5 linked regions of the Mus musculus genome follow. The protein of the gene in region 4 purifies or fractionates together with the protein of the main gene of each other region. This does not show direct contact. Links are inferred from orthologs where the notes say so. Each region holds a gene or a part of one and is shown on either strand. Other genes may lie near its edges.

Region 1 (2,349 bases), on a different chromosome or scaffold from region 4:
GGAGATCACAGAGCTGCCTGACTACAACAAGATCTCCTTCAAGGAGCAGGCACCAGTGCCCCTGGAGGAGGTGCTGCCTGATGCCTCTCCCCAGGCCTTGGACCTGCTGGGCCAGTTCCTCCTCTACCCTCCACGACAGCGTATTGCAGCCTCCCAGGTAGGGTTAAAGGTTGACCCTTGACCCTGCCAAGCCAGAGACGCTTAGAACCCGCGTAGGGTGGAACCCTTGGAGGTGGGGTTTTGATGGAGTGTTCTCCAGGAGGCTTCGGGAGAGAAGTCAGTGACCCCTGCCCTCTGTCCAGCCCCTCCCCCTTGTCAGTGGGTCTTGCCTGCAGTTGCAGGTGTGAGTGTTGTCTCTTTCTCACCCTGACTGCTCTTGCTGTGTTCCTAGCCCTCCTGTGTTTGCTCCTCTCAAGCCCTAGGCTTTCCTTTGGGCTTGTGCTCCTGGGACCCAGCTCTTCAAAGCCTGCAGCATCTCTCTAGTCCTCCTCAGCCTTTCCACCCAGCTTTATTATATGGTTTGTCCTGGGAGACACGAACGAGTGTCTGTTCACTGCAGAAAGGACACTGATAACAAATCTGACCTGAGTCGGGCTTTAGTATTAGGTACTTCCTGGGACTTGTGTGTTTTCAAGGAGCCTCCTGCCCAGAGGGAATGTTTCAATTGGGAAGGAATAGCTAGCTACACCACAAGCTCTCTTTGTTGCCGGGGACATACTGTGCATTTTGCCCCTTTCTCTGGTTTATGTCTCCCACCCCTTCCTCTGTTGGCAAGAATTTTTGGCTCACTGAAATGTTCCCAGCTGTTGGGACAGTGCTCCAGACATAGGCACGTCGGCAAGGTTTGCTGAGTCAGTTGAATGATTTTGGGGATACATAATGACTGGATTTCTTGCTACCCCCAGGCCCTTCTGCATCAGTACTTCTTCACAGCGCCTCTGCCTGCCCATCCATCCGAGCTGCCAATTCCTCAGCGCCCAGGGGGACCTGCACCCAAGGCTCACCCAGGGCCCCCCCATGTCCACGACTTCCATGTGGATCGACCTCTTGAGGAGTCACTGTTGAACCCAGAACTGATTCGGCCCTTCATCCCAGAGGGGTGAGATGCTGGTCCAGGCCTTCCTGCTCGCCCTAGGAGCACCTCTTTCTGATTTGCCTCCATGGCCTCCCCACGGCTATATATACCACACCTGGTCCTGCTCCTTAGTGTGCTTGAGGGCTGGGCTCTGGGAGGCAGAACCGTGAGATGTTCATCCCAGCAGAGAAAGAGACTCACGTCCTACAGACAAAGCCTCCAGAAACTGCTAGCTGTGTCCTTCTCCAGGGCCACCCCTCAGTGGTGCCACCCGGCCTTAGAGATGATTGTCAGGCTCTGTCCCCTCTTCAAGGACATTGGTACTACAGCACCACCTGGTGGAAGCACAGAGTATAAGCTGTCTTCATACCGGGGACACAGCTGGGAAGTCAGACATGTTTTAGTTTTGGTTCCACTGGGTCAGGATTTGAGGTTCATATAAAAGCCCTGGGTGTTTCTGTCTAATTGCACCTTGTCTGTTGCTGTTAGGGAAAGGACAATGGTGGGCCTTGATTCACAGGGGTCAGGTACTCAGAAGAGGCCTCCTGTGAAGGCCATTTGGGTCCTCAGGCTTCCCATGCTATTCACGGGACTTGAGTGCTCATTTGGGAGCGAGAGTCCAGAAGCTGAGGCCCAGGGATGGACAGTCCAGTTCCCGAAGCACACTTCCCACATGTCGGGTGGGTCAGTCAGTGAGCCTGAGGCTGCCTTGCAGATGCGGAAGCAGACATTCCTGGAATCCACTCAGTAAATAAATTCCAGTGTGACTCAGCCAGCTTGTGTTTTATTTCATAGGGATATATTAAGATGAGTCTAAAACAGTGACTCTCTACCTCCCAATGCTGCAACCCTTTAGTTCTTCATGTTGTGGTGACCCCCTGCCCCAACCATAAAATTATTTTTGTCATACTGCATTAACTGTAATTTTGCTACTGTTATGAATTATAATGTAAATATCTCACATGTGATTCCCAAGGGGGTCAAGACCCACAGGATGAGAACCACTGGTCTAGATCCTGCGATGTCGAGGAGGGGGGAGCAGAGAGAAGATGATAAAAGGACTTGTGTGTTGGCCATTCAGATTTACTGCAGGGTTATATAACAACTAAGACAGGATATCGTTTCAGGGATGGATTAGATAGGATCTTAACTATCCATTATTCAGATACATAACAAAATCTGGTAGTGGTTGTGGTGTATGCCTGTAACCCCACTCAGGGGTCTGAGGTGGGAGGGTTCCTAAGAGTAGAAGGCCATGCTAGGCTACAGTGCAA
Region 2 (4,312 bases), on a different chromosome or scaffold from region 4:
TGTGAGTCTTTGAAAATCACATGACCAAAAAAGAAAAAAAAAAACCCAGCAATTGTACATCATATGATAGGTTATTATTTAAATGGCAGGAGATGTCTGACATCTAGAAGGGTGATTTGCCAACAGTGGTGGCGAATGCCTTTAATCCCAGCACGTGGGAGGCAGAGGCAGGCGGATTTCTGAGTTAGAGGCCAGCCTGATCTACAGAATGAGTTCCAGGACAGCCAGGACTACACAGAGAAATTCTGTCTCAAAAAACCAAGAAAGAAAAAAGAAAAAAAAAAAGAAAAAGAAAAAAAGAAAAAAAGAAAAAAATCTGTAATTTACACATAGCACAATACCGTAGACTTACCTCTCCTGTGCGTCCCTTAGAATTCACTTTTCTCCCTCCCTTTCTGAAGCTTTGTAATGTTTTATCTATCTTAAGCCTAGAAAGCAATCAATGAAATTCAAGTAGAAAATCACTGACAGCTCCGAAATGAGGGAATCCAGAGATAAACCACTAGCTATGCAATAAGGAATAGTGAGCGGAGTACATTTTCAGTCTTCATAACGGCGGCCAGGGAATAGAAACACATTTTCCTTGGGGAGAGATTGTGCTAAGGGGACCAGACACAGATACAAAAGATTATTCCTCTCGGGGGTTTATCTTTCTTGACTTCGTGGGACCTAAAACAAAACCAATATAATCCATCACAACCTCCACCCGTTTTATTTTACTTCTTCCGGAACACCATGTAGACCACTTGCCCCCCCCCCCCCCCCAAAAAAAAAGCCTAAAGCAAACTAACTTGGTTAAAGATCTAAAACATTCTGAAAGTTTGGGCGACAAAAGCTGGAACCGACTCCAGACTCTCTCTTAAGTTCTCAGCAGAGCCGAAACAAGATTTCTTAAGGTTTGCAAATAAATCCCTTCAGCTGGACTAAAAACGCACAGAGCCTGGAGCGCTCCCTACAGCTGAGAGCTTGAACCTACCGAGCCCAGAAATCCGGAGTTACCCAAGACGGAGTCCCTCACTCCTTGTGGCGTTTAAGAGAACCAGGTGAAGGTTGGGGTGGAGGGAGGCTGAACCGGCAAAAGGCAGGATTAATCACTTCTCCCAATTGCATCAGCAGCCCCCGCCCTTCCTTCAGAGCACCTCCTATCCTAGAACCTTCGCTACGTACTGCCGCTCCTTCGCCCACCCCCGGCTCCATTATATGCCCTGATACCTCCCCATTATCACCCGCCCTGCCACACTCCCCCCTTTCCTCTTTCCTCCTCCTCCTCCTCCGTCGGGGAAGGAGGAAACCCGAGAGAGGAAACAGGGTGTTGGAGGAAGGGGGCTCCGCGATAAGAGAGGAGGCTCCATTGGCTCCGACACCGTACGGGCGCTTCCCATTGGTCAGGCCCCGCCGGAATCCACGCCCCCTCTGTCCCCGCCCCCGCCCCTCCCCCGCCGGCTCGCGGCCCTCCCCCCGCGCCCCCCGGCCAGCCCCGCGGCGGGGAGGGACCGACAGGGCTTGAGCGGAGAGGCTCCGGCGGTGTCAATGGCTCCTCCTGCCACGGAGCAGCAGCAGCAGCAGCAGCGGCAGCAGCAGCAGCGGCAGCGGCGGCGGCGGCGCTGGGGCTGAGGAGGGAAGGTTCCTTTAAGGAGGAGGAACGACGACGCCTCTTTTGCCCCTATCTCCTCCCTTTTACACTCATTTCCCCTTCGCCGAGGGTGGGGGTGGGGGGGGCGGAGGAGAGAGAAGAGGCCGAAGAAAGAGAAAATTCCTCGCAGGGCGCTCTTTCAGGGGGTGTGGGGGGAGGACGAGGAACGGAGGAGCCGGGCGCCCCCCGCGCGCTCCCGCCCCGCTCGGCTCGCCCTCTCCGAGATCGCCCGTCCGCCCACTCCCCCCGCCGCCGCCGCTGCCGGAGACGCCGCTCGGGAGTCGGCGGGCCCGGCTCGTCTGCTCGGCCGCCGCCGCGCTTCGCCTCGGGCTCCCCAGGCGGACGGACGCCCTTTCTTTCTTTCTCTTGCCCGGCCCGTCTCTCTGTCTGCGTCCCTCGCGGCCGCCCCGCCCGGCGGCCTCGGCCTTGCCCGTGCGCCAGGCCCGGCCGGCGGGCCTCGCTCAAGCTCCGGTGGTGCCCCCAGCCTCCCCGCGGAGCCGGGGGAAGCTCACGCCCGGTGGCCCCCCGGTCCCCGCGTCCCCGGCCGCCCCGCTCCTTCCCGCTCCCCACCCCCTTCCTCCCCGGCCCCGGAGCTCGCGGTGCGTGTGCGCGTGAGTGTGTGTGTCCCTCCGCCAACGCCGCCACCTCAGCCCGGCAAATGAACTCCGTCCGAGCCGCCAACCGGAGACCCAGGCGAGTGTCGCGGCCGCGCCCGGTGCAACAGCAGCAGCAGCAGCCCCCGCAGCAGCCGCCGCCGCAGCCGCCTCAGCAACAGCCGCCGCCGCAGCCGCCCCAGCAGCCGCCGCAGCAGCAGCCCCCGCCGCCGCCGCAGCAGCAGCCCCCGCCGCCGCCCCCGCCGCCTCCGCCGCCGCCTCAGGATCGGAACAACGCCGGCGAGAGGGGTAAGGCCGCGCTCGGGGCCTGGCTGGGCGGGCGGGAGGCCGGGCGGGGGCGGCGGCGGCGGCGGCGGCGCGCCCGGGGTGGGAGACGGAGGCCGAGCGGAGGCGGGTCCCACCGTGCCGCAGTGTTCGCCTGGGCCCGGCCCGGCCGGGCCTGGCCGGCAGGAAAAGCCGCGGCTGCGCGATCCGCCCGGGCTGCGGCTCAGGCCGCGCTTTGTTTGGTTTCGGGGCTGGCACCCTCCGTCCCCACCCCTCCTTGGGGCTTCCCGGCTGGCTCGCCCACCCCACGGGAGTCTGTTCGCGGCCGGGGGCGGGCAGGAGGGTGGGATTTCCCCCCTTTCTGCGCCTGGCTCGATCTGGGCTCCCCCTTTCTCGTGGTAGGTGGGGGGACGGCTGGCTGCGTGGGGCGGTGAGGCTGGCCGGGGAACTTGTTTTCCCCTTCTCTGTGGGCTCCCCCTTGCCCTGGAGGAGGGGGAGAGGAGCGCCGGAGTGGTCCGCCGCGCTGGCTGGGGAACTTGCGTGCCCCCTTCCAGGTCGCAGGGCAGGGGGAGCCTCGGCCCCTCTCTCGACCACAACATCTTTGCTGCACAGTTTGCCTTTAGTTACAGAACCCCGGGGAAGAACCCGTTAAATCAATACCTTTAAATAAATAAATATAGAAGCTATCGGCCATTTCCAGCCCCCTCCCTCGTGTGCAGTGCAGTTACCCTTCCGCTGTGTCGTCCCCCTTTCCTCTCCAACCCACTACGCCACGGTGCTCCCCTCGGTCTCCGGGTGGGTTTGAGCACCCTCGCCGTAGAACGGGCCCCTTGGGATCGTGTGTGTAGCTGTATGTAGACGAGCGCGCGCCCGCGCGCGTGTTGTGACCAAGGCCTAGTGAAATGTGTCATTTGGACCCAACTGTGCTGCGCTGTCTGGTAACCACCATTGTCTAAGGGCTGAGGCTCCCTGGGGTTGGATTCTTGCTTTAGCAAAAATAATGTTCGGTTTTGCTTGAATGATGTGGTTACGTGGAGAGAGGTTTGTGAGATGAGAGTGTTGCACCTTGATCTCCAAACATAACTAGTCTCTTTATTAATGAGCTGCTTGCAGCGGGGTGTAAGTCAGCACGGTATTTTGTGTATGGTTGTTTTAAAGAGGAGAATTGTTAGGAGACATTTTGCGTGTTTTGGTTGGCGGATTAAGGGTAATTTTTACATGCGTTGGTTGTCACACCTCCTTTGATTGAGACTCCGTTTAAATATAATTTTAAAAATTGTACATTCTTTAACTGCTTCATTGTATTTGATCAAAATATTTATCAGATGAAGGAAATTGCTAGAAAAACAGTTTAAAAGGTTTGCCTTAGTCACTGTTACAATAGTCTTTGAGAAAGCAGCTGGCTGTATGTTATTTGAGAGATGTTTCAAACCGGCTAGGAGTCTTTTGCAACATGGTTGGTAAAACTGTTTTAATGATTCTTTGGTACATTCACTAATTTTTGACAAATTAAAAAAATTGTCTCATGTTACCTTTCACTTCCACGGACCGGAGTTGTCCGATGTTCCGTTCAGATTACCAGGTCTTGTAGAATTGACATGAGGGAAAAGAAGCACCCTTGAAATGTTACTGACGTGGTCTCAGAGTAAGCCTTGTAAAGATGCTCTGATCTACTAGAAGCACATCACCCAAAGTGTCAGCCAAACTCGATTAACTCCCATCGTGTATTTCTAAATGTTTAGTCTGCATTCCTGTTTCATCACTTGCTATAATTCCCACTCTACTTGAGATAGACCCTGGG
Region 3 (3,514 bases), on a different chromosome or scaffold from region 4:
GTGTTGTTTAGAGTTTTCTTTAATGTGCTGTTACATTTTTTGCATATTCTCTCTAATAAAGCTAGTTTCATCCTTGTGAAAATTAAGAAAAATTATCCTTTCTGGGCTACAAAAGATTCAGGCTAGTCAATTACATTGATTTAAGTAAAAATAATGAATTTAAAAGATTCATCAGACATTCCTACATAGGTAACGTAAGGGCTTAGCACTAGAGACAGAGTTGTGCTCTAATTAATGGGGCATATACCATATCCACATCAAAAGGCAAAGGCAGTTCGGCCATCCAGCTGCCCTGCTGAGGACTACAAGAGGGGGGTCAGCGCTCACATGGTAGGTCCCTGACCCTCTCTCTGCTCCACTGAGACAAGAACCTACAGCCTGGCAGACGGAGTGAGAAAGACAAGGACATCAGCACAGAAGTCTGTATTTTGCTGCTGCTATTGCTCCGAGAGGGACTGTTACTCCACATCAGCTGACAGGGGCGACAGTAGAAAGACTGCTTAAACACGGCTTTCAGTGTTGGGCTGTCATAAGCTTCAGTGGAAACTGCCACTTCAGGCATTAAACATATCCCCCAGTCCAGGTTCAGGAAGCAGTAAACAGAAACTGATTCTAGGCATTATCCTCTACACCCAAGGGAGATGAGCCCTGAATGTTCATGTCTTAAAACATCTATTTAAAATTTTTGAAGCTTTTTGATTCGTGACTTTTAGAACCCTTAATAGATCATTCCTTTTAAGAAGATTCAAATAGACCACCACTTAAAAGACTATCCTGGTGCCGGGCGTGGTGGCTCACGCCTTTAATCCCAGCACTCGGGAGGCAGAGGCAGGCGGATTTCTGAGTTCAAGGCCAGCCTGGTCTACAGAGTGAGTTCCAGGACGGCCAGGGCTACACAGAGAAACCCTGTCTCGAAACACCCCACCCCCTGCAAAAATAAAAAAAAAAAAACAAAAACAAAAACAAAAAACTATCCTGACCCTGACTTGACAAAAAATCCTGGGCAAAATAGCTTCTAAATGGGAGATTGATGTCTATCTACCATCACACCTGTCCGTGTACAGGTTAAAGGCATTAACACATGCAGAAAAGCAATTAGAACTCAGCACACACCAAGCACAGAAACACAGGCCAGTCCCTCAAATGATAGAGAGAAAACATTTTTCCTTACCATCCACTTTTTGAACCACACAGCCTTAGTATCAACTAATGCGAAAAAATAGATGGGATCCAAAATCTTCTGTGGCACCAGGTGGCTTTGCTCGTGTTTGACTGAGAGCAAGGACAGAGTACTCTCCACAATTTCCTCCATATACCTGAGTTTGGGAAAGAAGTGATTTAAAAAAAAAAACTGACAAGGTTTAGTGTGTGTGAGATCAGTGATATTCTTATCCTTATGAAATTACAATGTGACATGTAACCTTGAGATTTTTTTTTTTTCTGTAAATGGTAGAGGCTAAGAGCCACACTCACTCTTTCTGCGCTAAAAATCTTGTTCTTTCTCCTCCAGTACTCTAGCCTCCAAATGTTAACTTTCAGTTTTAGACTCACAGGTGCTCTTACAACCTTGTCAGAACTTTTTTTTTAACTGAATGGAAAAATAAGATAACATTTAAGAAACTTGTTTAGAGTAGCAAACATCAGGTGAGCCCAAGGCCTCAACATCCCATTTCTACAATGTTTTAAGTGACATAAAAACATACTTGGGGAGAACCATTTACACAAATATACAAATACACTGACAAAAACTGCACTAAAACCTTCTATCCTAGTGTGCTACGATTAACACCATGTAAAACAGCAACTTGAAGAGAAACAAGTCCATTTTAGTTTACAAATTATACTCCATCATTAAGGGAAGCCAGACCAGGAGCTCAAGACAGGAATTTGGGGCAAAAACCATTGAGGCGTTGCTTGCTGTCTTGCCTCCTCAAGCTTGCTACTTTTCTTATACAGCCCAGGGCCATGTGCCTACAGAAGGTATTGCCCCTGGGAGGCCCCCTATATCAATTTACAGTTACAAAAACACACACATAGGCAAGTGATGAGGGCAGTTCCTCAGATGAGGGTCTATTTCCTAGGTGGTCCTATTTGGTGTCAAGCTGACAAAAACTAAGTGGCATATAGAACCATGTCCATCGCTCAAGACTACTGTTCCTTCTGTCCTTGAAATAATTGAAGGACATAGCCTATACCTTACATCACAGGAGTTGGGGAACTTACTTCTCTGGGTGACGAATCCAAAAAGATGGAGCCTCTTTCTGGTACTCATTCAGAAGGCGAACCTATAAGCAGTATACAAAAGCTCTCAAAAGAGTTTAATTCTTAAATATAGCCCTACTTTCCATACAGTACATCATAGTAAGTGGATACCTTTTTCAGTAAGCGGGTCACATTGGGACTGGTTATGTCTACTCCAGTTGAAAGAGTAGGAAGGTGATTTTCTCTAGAAAGAAAATATACCTCCAGATATTTAGCTGAAAAGGAAAGGGAAAATATACAGTCGTTATATATATTACGCAATGCTTCTGGAAGAAGTCATTTCTTACGGGATTTTAAGTGCATATAGGAGAACAACAATTGAAGTCATTTGGTGAACATACCTAAGCTTGTATAAATCTCCTTGGTCATATGTAACGGTGAGAGGGTAAAAGTCTGTGCGTAGAACTTTAAAATCCGGTCCTAGGGAAGCAAAACAGCCCATCCTCATTTGCGATCTTACAGCAGCACAGACCAAACACTTCTCGCATGGAACAGAAAATAAACACAAGATACACTACGCAGAAACCAGGGGAAGGCCGTGTCTATTCTAAAGGGCATGTCTTCATTTAGCCAAAAGTAAAATTATCCACAACTAAGGGTAAAACCAACAACAAAATGCACTGCTGTGAAATCTGGTCACAGCAGGAAGTAGGAGTGAATGGTGGCGGGAGGAAGGGTCACGTGGTGCTGTGAAATGAAGCTGCAGGCTTGCACAGAGGTGCTGGAGGCTTTAATGGTGCCATCCAACAGTGGCACAGTAGGCAACACTACATTTTGAGACCTCACATTTCCAAGGCCAGGATTGTTTCTTTAGAGTATTTAGGAGTCTTTCTAGCAATTATGCCTAGTCCCTAGACAAAAAAAAATACTACATAATATTTTGAAATTTGATCACAAAATAAACTGAACAAGAATTAAATGTAGTTTCAAACATGGTTGACACTAGTAGGCATTAAAATGGTACCTGTCACTTCACTTTCTTTATAATCACTTAAATATCATGAGAAGCGTAATTCTACTGGTGAAATACAAGTTTCCATTCAATAAAAACAATCTTGCCTCCTATTGTTTTAATCTACAGAAATAAAATTAAATGATCTAGTTTCTAACTCCCAGGCTAACATTTTCGTAGGAAGTTGGACTCTACATGTCTAATGATATCTTCCAATAATGCTAAGACATTCCCACGGAACACAGACCACCCAGTATTTGAAGCCCATGCTTGGAGTTGCAGTAACACATAAGCATCTGT
Region 4 (3,986 bases):
TGTGTGCGTGCGTGTGCTCTGTATGTGCCATCTGTGTACCCCTCACATTCATGGAGTACACTTATAGGCACATTACAGTGGGGACATCAAGATGCAATATTTATGGATTGCTGCATGATTCTTAAAAGTGAATAAAACTGTTTACAGGGGCAAGGGAGCCATTAATTACAACGTGAATTCGTTTGTGAACGTATTCGTTTCAGTCAGTGGCTCAGGCTCTTTTTAGTATTTCTGCAGACCTGGGTACAAGGCCAGCTCCATTCCTGACTGCCCTACCTGCTTCTGCATCTGCCTTAAACCCGATCACTTCCAATCCTGCAGCTCGTCAATTATTAAAGAACCCCAAAGCTGATGGCAATAGGGAAAGCTAGGGCCCAGAATCCCTTATGCTTAGTAGTTCCCATCACTTAACCAGTTCCTGGCTAAATCAGTAGAACAAATGACCTCTTTGAGAATCTTGCAGGCCCAGGGCTTTTCTGTTTTTTGCCGGCTGGCTCTGCTTCCTAGACTGTCTGAAAGGGCAGCACCTCCGCAGATGCCCCTGGAATGCCAGCTTCCGGGAACTTGAGCAGGGTGAGTGGGCGAGCTGCTTACCGGGAGACGCTGGGTTACCCTACCCGCCTCGGTGTGTCTGCGAGCTGTGTGGCCGTTTCTGCGGATTATAAGCGACAGGTGGCATCAGAGAGTCAAACTTGCCTGTGGGCACCAGAGAAGACACTCGGGGACCAGGGAAAGGCCCCAGAAACCAGACAAAGGCCACTGGCAGCCCGGTGAGGGCAAAGACTTCAAGGGCACGGTTCCCCGAGACTTGGTCTGCAGAATCCGGGGCTGGGTCCCCTCAGCGGTCAAACCCGACGCGTTGGGGGAGGGGTTCCCGGGGCCTCGAGCGGGAGCCGAGCACCCGCCGTGAGACCCAGCGCGGGGCCCTCGGGCGGGAATGCACAGAGTCGGATCTCGGTGGCGGGTAGGGGGCTGGGTGGCGCGGGAGAGGGCGGCAGAACCAGAGAGTTCCAGAGAGTTGCCGCCAGAGGAGCTGCAAGGGCCCGCGGTCTCCTTGGAGACGTACTGGCCAATGACAGCAGCGGAAGCTGTTTATGGGGGCGGGGCGTCGCCATGGCAGCAGAAGAAGCCTTCCGAGCGTCTACTTAATGCCGGTCCCCGGGCCGTCGGCGCTCAGAGAAGCGCCGTCGGGCGAGGGGGGGGGGCGCGAAGAGGGGCGCCAGCACAGCCCTCGAGCTGGGGACAGAGAACCGCGGGAGGTGGGAGGAACTTCTTCCAGAACCTTCCTCTGGCTGGCTGCGCTCTGAGCCAGGTAAGGGACTGGGAGGGCTGTGGACCACGGGATGGGAGGGCGTCGGGACCTGCTGGCTATCCAGTCCATCGGTCGCCCACAGAAGTAGTGGGGCCACGAAAATGAAATCTGAGGAGTTCGGGAGATCGCTTCCTGCTCCTCCATAACTCGGTCCTGTGACCTTCCTTTCCCGAGACCCTTCATCCTAACACCTCTTTTCAAGGATCAGATGACCTACTTTGCCCCAGCCGCGTCGTACTGACCCCCCTGGACTATTGGGATGTGATCTTAGTTTCCCACTCTTTGGGGAAAAGAGTTAGTTTGGGCCTTCCTACCCTCTTCCCTCATTGTGGCCAACAAACCCTTCAAGGGCAGATGGAGAGAGGTGGAGACGCAGGATCAGACCAGGGTCCTGTGTTTCCCTGACCTCGCCACAGGCTGCGGGGATGAATGTGAGGGGCTCCCCCCCTAAGGCGCCTCTTTCCTCTCGGGGTAGGGGAAGAGTGTTCAGTTCCGTGGTGCTCCCGCAGGCCTCACATTCGTGTTCGGAGGAGGCGACCCCCTGGGTCGCAGAATGGAAGTGAGTGTTCTGGAGACTGTGTAACTGGAGTCTGGGTTACCAGCGGGCCAGAGAGCGCGGCGGGCCACTCCGGCTCAGCCTGTGGATGTTGACCGCCCCTTCGGAGAGTCCCCGCAGACATGGCGGAGAGCTGGCTGCGCCTCTGCGGAGCGGGTCCCGGAGAGGAAGCCGGGCCGGAGGGCGGCATGGAGGAGCCGGACGCCCTGGATGACAGCCTGACCAGCCTGCAATGGCTGCAGGAATTCTCCATTCTCAACGCCAAGGCTCCCACTCTTCCCCCAGGAGGCACAGACCCCCACGGCTACCACCAAGTGCCGGGCTTGGTGGCGCCCGGGTCACCGCTGGCGGCAGACCCTGCCTGCCTTGGGCAGCCGCACACACCCGGCAAGCCCACATCGTCGTGCACATCTCGAAGCGCGCCCCCGGGGCTGCAGGCCCCGCCCCCTGACGACGTGGACTATGCCACCAACCCACACGTGAAGCCACCCTACTCCTATGCCACTCTCATCTGCATGGCCATGCAAGCCAGCAAGGCCACCAAGATCACTCTGTCGGCCATCTACAAGTGGATCACGGACAACTTCTGCTACTTCCGCCATGCAGACCCCACCTGGCAGGTAGGGGGAGGAGAGGTGCGGGTGGTGGCCACTCCCTCCTCACGACCTCCTTCTGGCACTTAGCCAGGCTCGCATACCAGATCTGCAAGGCCAAGGAGACACCTGGCTGTGAGGTCAGGCCTCATGAGAGGCCTGACCACTCTGCCAGGTTCTGAAACTGCTCCCTTGTCTGGAGCCAAGGCCCTGGAGGTACAGACGAAGTTGTAGAAGAGGGACCAATAGGGCCCGGTGTAGCCTCATGTGGGATGTAACACTAAGGCACATTCTTGTCCCGTGTCCGAAAATTCCTAGACAATGATCTGCCCGAGGAATTAGTCAGAACTGGACTCTGAAATGGAACCTAGGTGACCTCCCTGCCAACTTCTGCACCCTGCGTCTAGAGAGTAGGGCAGAGATGAGCCCCTCTGGGTACAAAGATCAGTTGTCCAGGTGGAGGGGTCAGGAAGTCATCCTGAAGCCACTGACCAGCCTCCCACCTCAGCTCCTCCCCAGTTTCCTGCCCCCACCCCCACCCTCTCAGCCAGCCTCCCTAGGGGGGCAATTACCTGAGCCAGGTGCTTTCCACAGGGGCACTTCTGCTGCAGTGGCTTCGGGTTCTAAATCTCCAGAACCTGGCACAGAGCAGCCAATGGGCCAGGCTGCCGTGTAAACATCTCAGCCCTGCTGGCCAAAGGGTGCCCACTCACTGCCCACCTGCCTTGCTAGCATAGCCTGGGCCCCTGGACACCAGTGTGGTGTGAGCAGAACTAAGCTGCTGCGTGTGGAGAGGGCAAGATAAGGCTCAGTAGACAGAGACAGCACTGTGAACATCCTCCAGTATCAAGATCCATGTTCTAGAGACGAGGCCTGAGGTTGCCCACTCTTCCCTAAGGCAGCCAAGGAGCAAGAGGGCACGATCATAGTCCTAACCCATTCCAAATGGCTCTAACCCTGGGTCAAAAGATTCCCCAATCTTCTCCTTATTCAATGCCTTTGCCAACTCAGGTCCCAGAAAAGAGCCTTATGCGCTTGGCTGGGTAATAATCAACTGAGGTGGTTTGGGTGGGAAGAGGAGATTGTAGGGGGTGAAGGTCTAGGCCAGCAGCTGGCTCAACAAACAAGGAGTCACTAAATCTCCCAACACACACACACACACACACACAAACACACAGTCCTTGGTCACCCAGCCCCCTCCCTTAACCCACCCACTTCACAAACAGAGGGAGATGGCAGTCCAGGCCGTGGGGGAGCTGAGGGCTTTGGCCAGGACCTGCAAGCAACAGGGTAAGGGAGGGAGGGAGGATGACAGAGGGTGGCACTGAGAGCCACCCTGTGGCTCAGAGCTCGGATGACTGAGCAGGCAGATATCCCAGCAACAGAGAACAAAAGCCCCCCCCCCCCCCCATGCACTCCGGGCTCCTCATACCCTGTGGCTGGTGTCCCAGAGTCCCCGAGCTACAGCTGCCTGGTCAGGGCATCGGATCCGCCCCTCCCCCATCTGGGAGGATGCAGGAGCACC
Region 5 (4,314 bases), on a different chromosome or scaffold from region 4:
AAACATTATTTCACATGTTTAATTTCAAAGCATGATTATGTTCACAGATTTCTGTTAGTCTAAAACACTGAAAACAAAGAATGTCAATGCATAGTACAGTCCCTCCTAGGAAAAATAGCACAGAAAAAAAAAGTCGAACTAAATGGTACTTAAATTTGTATTTAATTTTAAAGATAAATTGTTATAACTCTAAGTTAATCAATCCACTAAACTATTTTATTTTAAAGCATCTCTAATATCAACTCTTAAAACACAAAGATTTGCTTTAAATGGACAGGCTACTTAACATAATGCAATGCCACATTTGCTCTCAAATTAACTTGTGAATGGAAAAAACTAAATTAAACACATGCTTGATGAGTGAAATGACTCTTAAACACTCTTGGACACGACAAATAAAATATTAATCTAAGACATTTTAATATATACAATCTACTCAGCTGAAACATATGTGAATGCCATTAAGATCTAAAACTGTCCCAAGACAGCAAAACTCCTTTTAACTTCAGACCCAGGAGCTTTACCATCGAAAAGTGTTCAGGCGTTTGACACTCATCTGAACAAAAAAGAGGAAAAGAAGAAAAAGAAAAGAAAGATGAAAAGAAAAAAGAAAATGAGAAGAAAAGAAAAAATAAAAGTTAGTATTTGAAAATTGCAAAGACAGGTTGGGAATGGATGAATAAATATAAAGAATGCTGAGAGATCCAAACAGACTTCTTTCAGAATCAAATCTCAGCTTCATTTAAAATAACAATCACACGAAAATGAATTGAAAAGTAAGGTTTTTCCCAATCCCCCAACTCTTACTTGTTTTACAAAATATTAGCCTTAATGGCATTATAATTACCCAACCTCTCCATTGACAATCTCAAGAATAATTAATACTGTCACATTATTCACAGGCTGCTCTGTCAGTTAAATCAATAAATGTTTGCTGTTGGAAAGATTATTTAAATAAGCACTTTAAAATATGAATTGGAAATTTCAATGTGCCACTATAATAGTACAATCTATTTGTTTTAGCTCACAATCATCATCAATTTTTTTCTGATAACCTATTAATTGTTATGCTGAAAATGAGCAAATTAAGGATCTGCAAAGCCAGGTTCTAATCAAGACGATACTACTTCATAACTGGTAAGTATTCAGATCTACAAGGGCAACTATTTCCTCTAAAGAAACACTTTAAAAGGAAGTTTTTTTTTTCTTCTGAACAGGTTTAAATCATTGTCCAAAGAAAACCAAAAAGTCAACAAAAAAGAATATGTTAAGTACACACATGCCTAGATCTTAACAGCCACAAAGAAAGTGAAATATACACACGTTTCAAGTTGAGAAGCTTCATACATTCTTTATGAACAACTTGACTTCAATTTCAACTCTCCAAGGGAAAGGAATAGAGATGAAGATGGGAGAAGGAAAAAAAAAAAAAAAAAAACTCTCAAAGTACCATAACTGTCACAAATAGCGTTGTGAACTGAGTTCTCACAAAGCTTCCTTATATCCTTTTCCTGTTCATCACAGACAAAGTCTAAACCACAATGAAAATTGTTAACACTCTCCTGTGGGGAGGGAGGTGCATCAAAGTGAAACAGAACCTCAGGACTACCCCTCCCATCTCCACATGAAGGATAAAGCGCTGTCAGTAGCCACTAACCAAAGTAGCACAGATGCCCTGCATCCGGTTTAAATCACAAGCACACACACACACACACACACACACACACACAAACCCGAAAAGGGGAGGGGGGAGAGAGAGAGAGGAGAGGGAGAGGAGACAGAGGAGAGACAAGAGAGGAAAGAGGAGAGAAGAGAAACAGAGAAACAGACTTAAAAAAAAAATCTCTCAAGAGCAGCAGAGGCCCCCTAGTTTCAATGTGTGTGCAAATGGGGGGAAGGGGGGAGAAGACTGCTGAATGGATATTAAGACTGTTTGCAGCACAAAGAAAAATACAGTTTTAAAAGAAAAAAAAAAAAAAAGAATCCCGTGAGGCCAGTGATGGTCAAATAAGTGCAGTCCGTTCAGCAGCAGGCACAGAGGGGCCGAAACGAAGGGAGCGGGCTTCGGGAAAAGTTCACCGAGGTACCAGGATAAAAATAACAAAACCCCCAACAAGGCCCCGCAAGTGAACAACAACCACCACAGCGCAGCACCTTTTGGGGACCCCCCCTGCTCACTGCTGTCTATTTCGATTTGGAAAGCAGCAGCCACCAGGCAGCTTTGCAAAGCAGCGAATTAAAGAAAGAGAGAGGGAGAAAGCGAGCCCCTTCTCTCCACCTGCCCCTCCTCCTGGGCGCCCGCGGACCTGGGGGGGACGCTCCAACACCCGCGACGGACAGCGGCGGCTTCCTAGCCCGCTCGCCCCGCAGCCCCGGCTCCCGCTCCATCCCCGAGCGCCGAGGCCGGGCGGGCAGGCGCGCGGCGCCCACACCCCCGAGCCCGCCGCGCGCGGGTCCATTGTAAACAAGCCCCCGGGACCGAGCCCCTCAAGCGGCCGCAGCCGGTGTCAGGAGGGAGACCCCGCACAGCCACGCTCGCTCGCACACACGAACACACGCACGGACACACACGCTCCCACACACATGTAGAGAGACCGAAGAATATTCACCTTGGCTGTGGATTATTGTGGTGTTGTTGGTGGGTGATGGAGATGGTGGTGGTGGGGAGGAGGAGGAGGAGGAAGAGGAGGAGGAGGAGGAGAGGAGTAGTTGTTGTTGATGGGTAACAGTCGCCAGGACTACGGTGACTATGGCGCTTGATTCACAAGGCAACGGTTGCTATAACTCACAAAAGAGAGAGAGAGGGAGAGAGAGAGGGAGCGAGGGAGAGGGAGACACTCGCGCGGGGAGGGGCGGGGGGGAGGGAGGAGGGGAGAGGGCGGGCCCGAGAGCGCCGGAAGAAGCGGCTTCGGCGCCGTGACTGACAGCTCGGAGCCCGGGCGGGGGGCTGCGGTCGGGATTCCGACGTCGGTTTTTCCCCCGAGGTGCGCTTTAAGACTTGGCGGGCCCGGGGTCAGGGCGAGTCTGCCTGGAGGAACGGGACGGAGGACGCCGGGGAAAGCTGAGGGTCTGGAGGCGAGGGCTACTTTCCGTCAAAGGAGCCCCGCCTGCCTCTGCCGCCAGCTCTGTGCCCAGCCGCCCCGCAGCCGCGAGAGGAAAAGCGCGAAGCCAGGGGAGGGGGAGTGACGACGGAGCCAACACTGTGTGAGACGCGCGCTACCGCGGAGGCAGACCCCACTTTGAAGAGCGGGCTCCACCCCGGGGCGTACGTCATTTCCTGGGCGGCCCCAGCTAATATCCCGGATGTGCTGCGCTCCTCCCCTCTCTCTCCTCTCTTCCCCCCGCCCCGCTCAGGTTTTTTTTTTTTTTTTTTTTTTTTCTCCCCTCCCTCTCCGTGGTCGCCAGTGTGGTGTTTCCCGGTCGGTCGTTTATGCCTCGCGGGTGATCCCTTTCCCAGACTCTCTGCGGCCGGCGCGGGCCTCCAGGGTCTCGGCTTTGCCCTCCCCTCCATCGAATTCCGCTTTCTCGCGCCTCCCGAGGCCGCGGGGTCCTGAGGAGCGCGGGCGGCGGGGTGTGAGCGGTGCTCCCGCCGCCATCTTAGGGAGCGAGAGCCTGGGCGCGCGAACGGTGACCCATCTCGCTCGGCGCGGCCGCTACCTCCCTGCGGAACCGAGACGCCAAGTTAGCACCCTGCAGGACCGGGAGGAAGTGCCAAGGGGAAGGGAATTCGAGCTTTCCGAGGATGAGGGTCCCTACAGGGGTGGGTTAGACCTTTCAGAGTAGCCCTCGGTAGGTCCTTAAGGGGCTCTACCCTTTCAGAGTTGACGGGATGGATCCCAGCTAGACCAATCGCCCTATTAGCTGGCATCGGTTTCTTAACAGCCTGGGGGTAGCTTGTTCTTGAGCTGTGTTGGACACGGGAACGGCTTCTGTCCATGGAGAACATTATTAGCACACAACCTGGCACCTCAAACTCGAGTTGATAAGGCACAGCTTCTGAAACCTCATGGTTCAAGCATATTCGTCCAATTCTCCTCATACTGGAGTCCAGCAGGCACGTGCCCCCAGGCCCGCCAATACCCAAAATCTCCCAACATTTGCAGCTAAGCAGCTTATCCAAGACAATAACATACTGGAAGTAGAGCCTTAAGAAGTCAGTTCTCCTCTTGAGGCTTAATTTTTGCACCGGCACATGAGGGATTTGGGCCAGCATGAGTTCCCTGTTAAAATAAGGCTGAGCTCTCTTTCTGTGCCCCAGACCTTGTGCTAAGTGTTTTACATACATTATCTCATTTAATCCTGACACCTGTTCTA

The links.
Region 1: the proteins of Foxj1 (region 4) and Cdk20 purify together in Homo sapiens (affinity purification with mass spectrometry; 3 studies listed by BioGRID and IntAct, counting the BioPlex papers as one, with this or other methods). This does not show direct contact. The link is inferred for Mus musculus from reciprocal best matches to the Homo sapiens genes FOXJ1 and CDK20.
Region 2: the proteins of Foxj1 (region 4) and Fbxo11 purify together in Homo sapiens (affinity purification with mass spectrometry; 3 studies listed by BioGRID and IntAct, counting the BioPlex papers as one, with this or other methods). This does not show direct contact. The link is inferred for Mus musculus from reciprocal best matches to the Homo sapiens genes FOXJ1 and FBXO11.
Region 3: the proteins of Foxj1 (region 4) and Tbc1d32 purify together in Homo sapiens (affinity purification with mass spectrometry; 3 studies listed by BioGRID and IntAct, counting the BioPlex papers as one, with this or other methods). This does not show direct contact. The link is inferred for Mus musculus from reciprocal best matches to the Homo sapiens genes FOXJ1 and TBC1D32.
Region 5: the proteins of Foxj1 (region 4) and Rfx3 purify together in Homo sapiens (affinity purification with mass spectrometry; 3 studies listed by BioGRID and IntAct, counting the BioPlex papers as one, with this or other methods). This does not show direct contact. The link is inferred for Mus musculus from reciprocal best matches to the Homo sapiens genes FOXJ1 and RFX3.

The regions. Positions count from the first base shown.
Region 1 is NC_000079.6:64,437,876-64,440,224, forward strand, and holds the end of Cdk20 (cyclin-dependent kinase 20), read left to right. Parts: intron 1-1; coding exon 2-157; intron 158-905; coding exon 906-1,103; 3' UTR 1,104-1,846; downstream 1,847-2,349. UniProt on the Homo sapiens protein: Required for high-level Shh responses in the developing neural tube.
Region 2 is NC_000083.6:88,063,232-88,067,543, reverse strand, and holds the start of Fbxo11 (F-box only protein 11), read left to right. Parts: upstream 1-1,498; 5' UTR 1,499-2,291; coding exon 2,292-2,535; intron 2,536-2,611; exon of another isoform or gene 2,612-2,909; intron 2,910-3,002; exon of another isoform or gene 3,003-3,449; intron 3,450-4,312. UniProt on the Homo sapiens protein: Substrate recognition component of a SCF (SKP1-CUL1-F-box protein) E3 ubiquitin-protein ligase complex which mediates the ubiquitination and subsequent proteasomal degradation of target proteins, such as DTL/CDT2, BCL6, SNAI1 and PRDM1/BLIMP1.
Region 3 is NC_000076.6:56,194,185-56,197,698, forward strand, and holds part of Tbc1d32 (protein broad-minded), read right to left. Parts: intron 2,683-3,514; coding exon 2,604-2,682; intron 2,478-2,603; coding exon 2,374-2,477; intron 2,286-2,373; coding exon 2,224-2,285; intron 1,317-2,223; coding exon 1,172-1,316; intron 1-1,171.
Region 4 is NC_000077.6:116,332,544-116,336,529, reverse strand, and holds the start of Foxj1 (forkhead box protein J1), read left to right. Parts: upstream 1-1,175; 5' UTR 1,176-1,312; intron 1,313-1,787; exon of another isoform or gene 1,788-1,821; 5' UTR 1,822-1,990; coding exon 1,991-2,488; intron 2,489-3,986. UniProt on the Homo sapiens protein: Transcription factor specifically required for the formation of motile cilia. Acts by activating transcription of genes that mediate assembly of motile cilia, such as CFAP157.
Region 5 is NC_000085.6:28,008,363-28,012,676, forward strand, and holds the start of Rfx3 (transcription factor RFX3), read right to left. Parts: upstream 2,805-4,314; 5' UTR 2,610-2,804; exon of another isoform or gene 1,350-2,609; coding exon of another isoform or gene 1,324-1,349; intron 1-1,323. UniProt on the Homo sapiens protein: Transcription factor required for ciliogenesis and islet cell differentiation during endocrine pancreas development. Essential for the differentiation of nodal monocilia and left-right asymmetry specification during embryogenesis.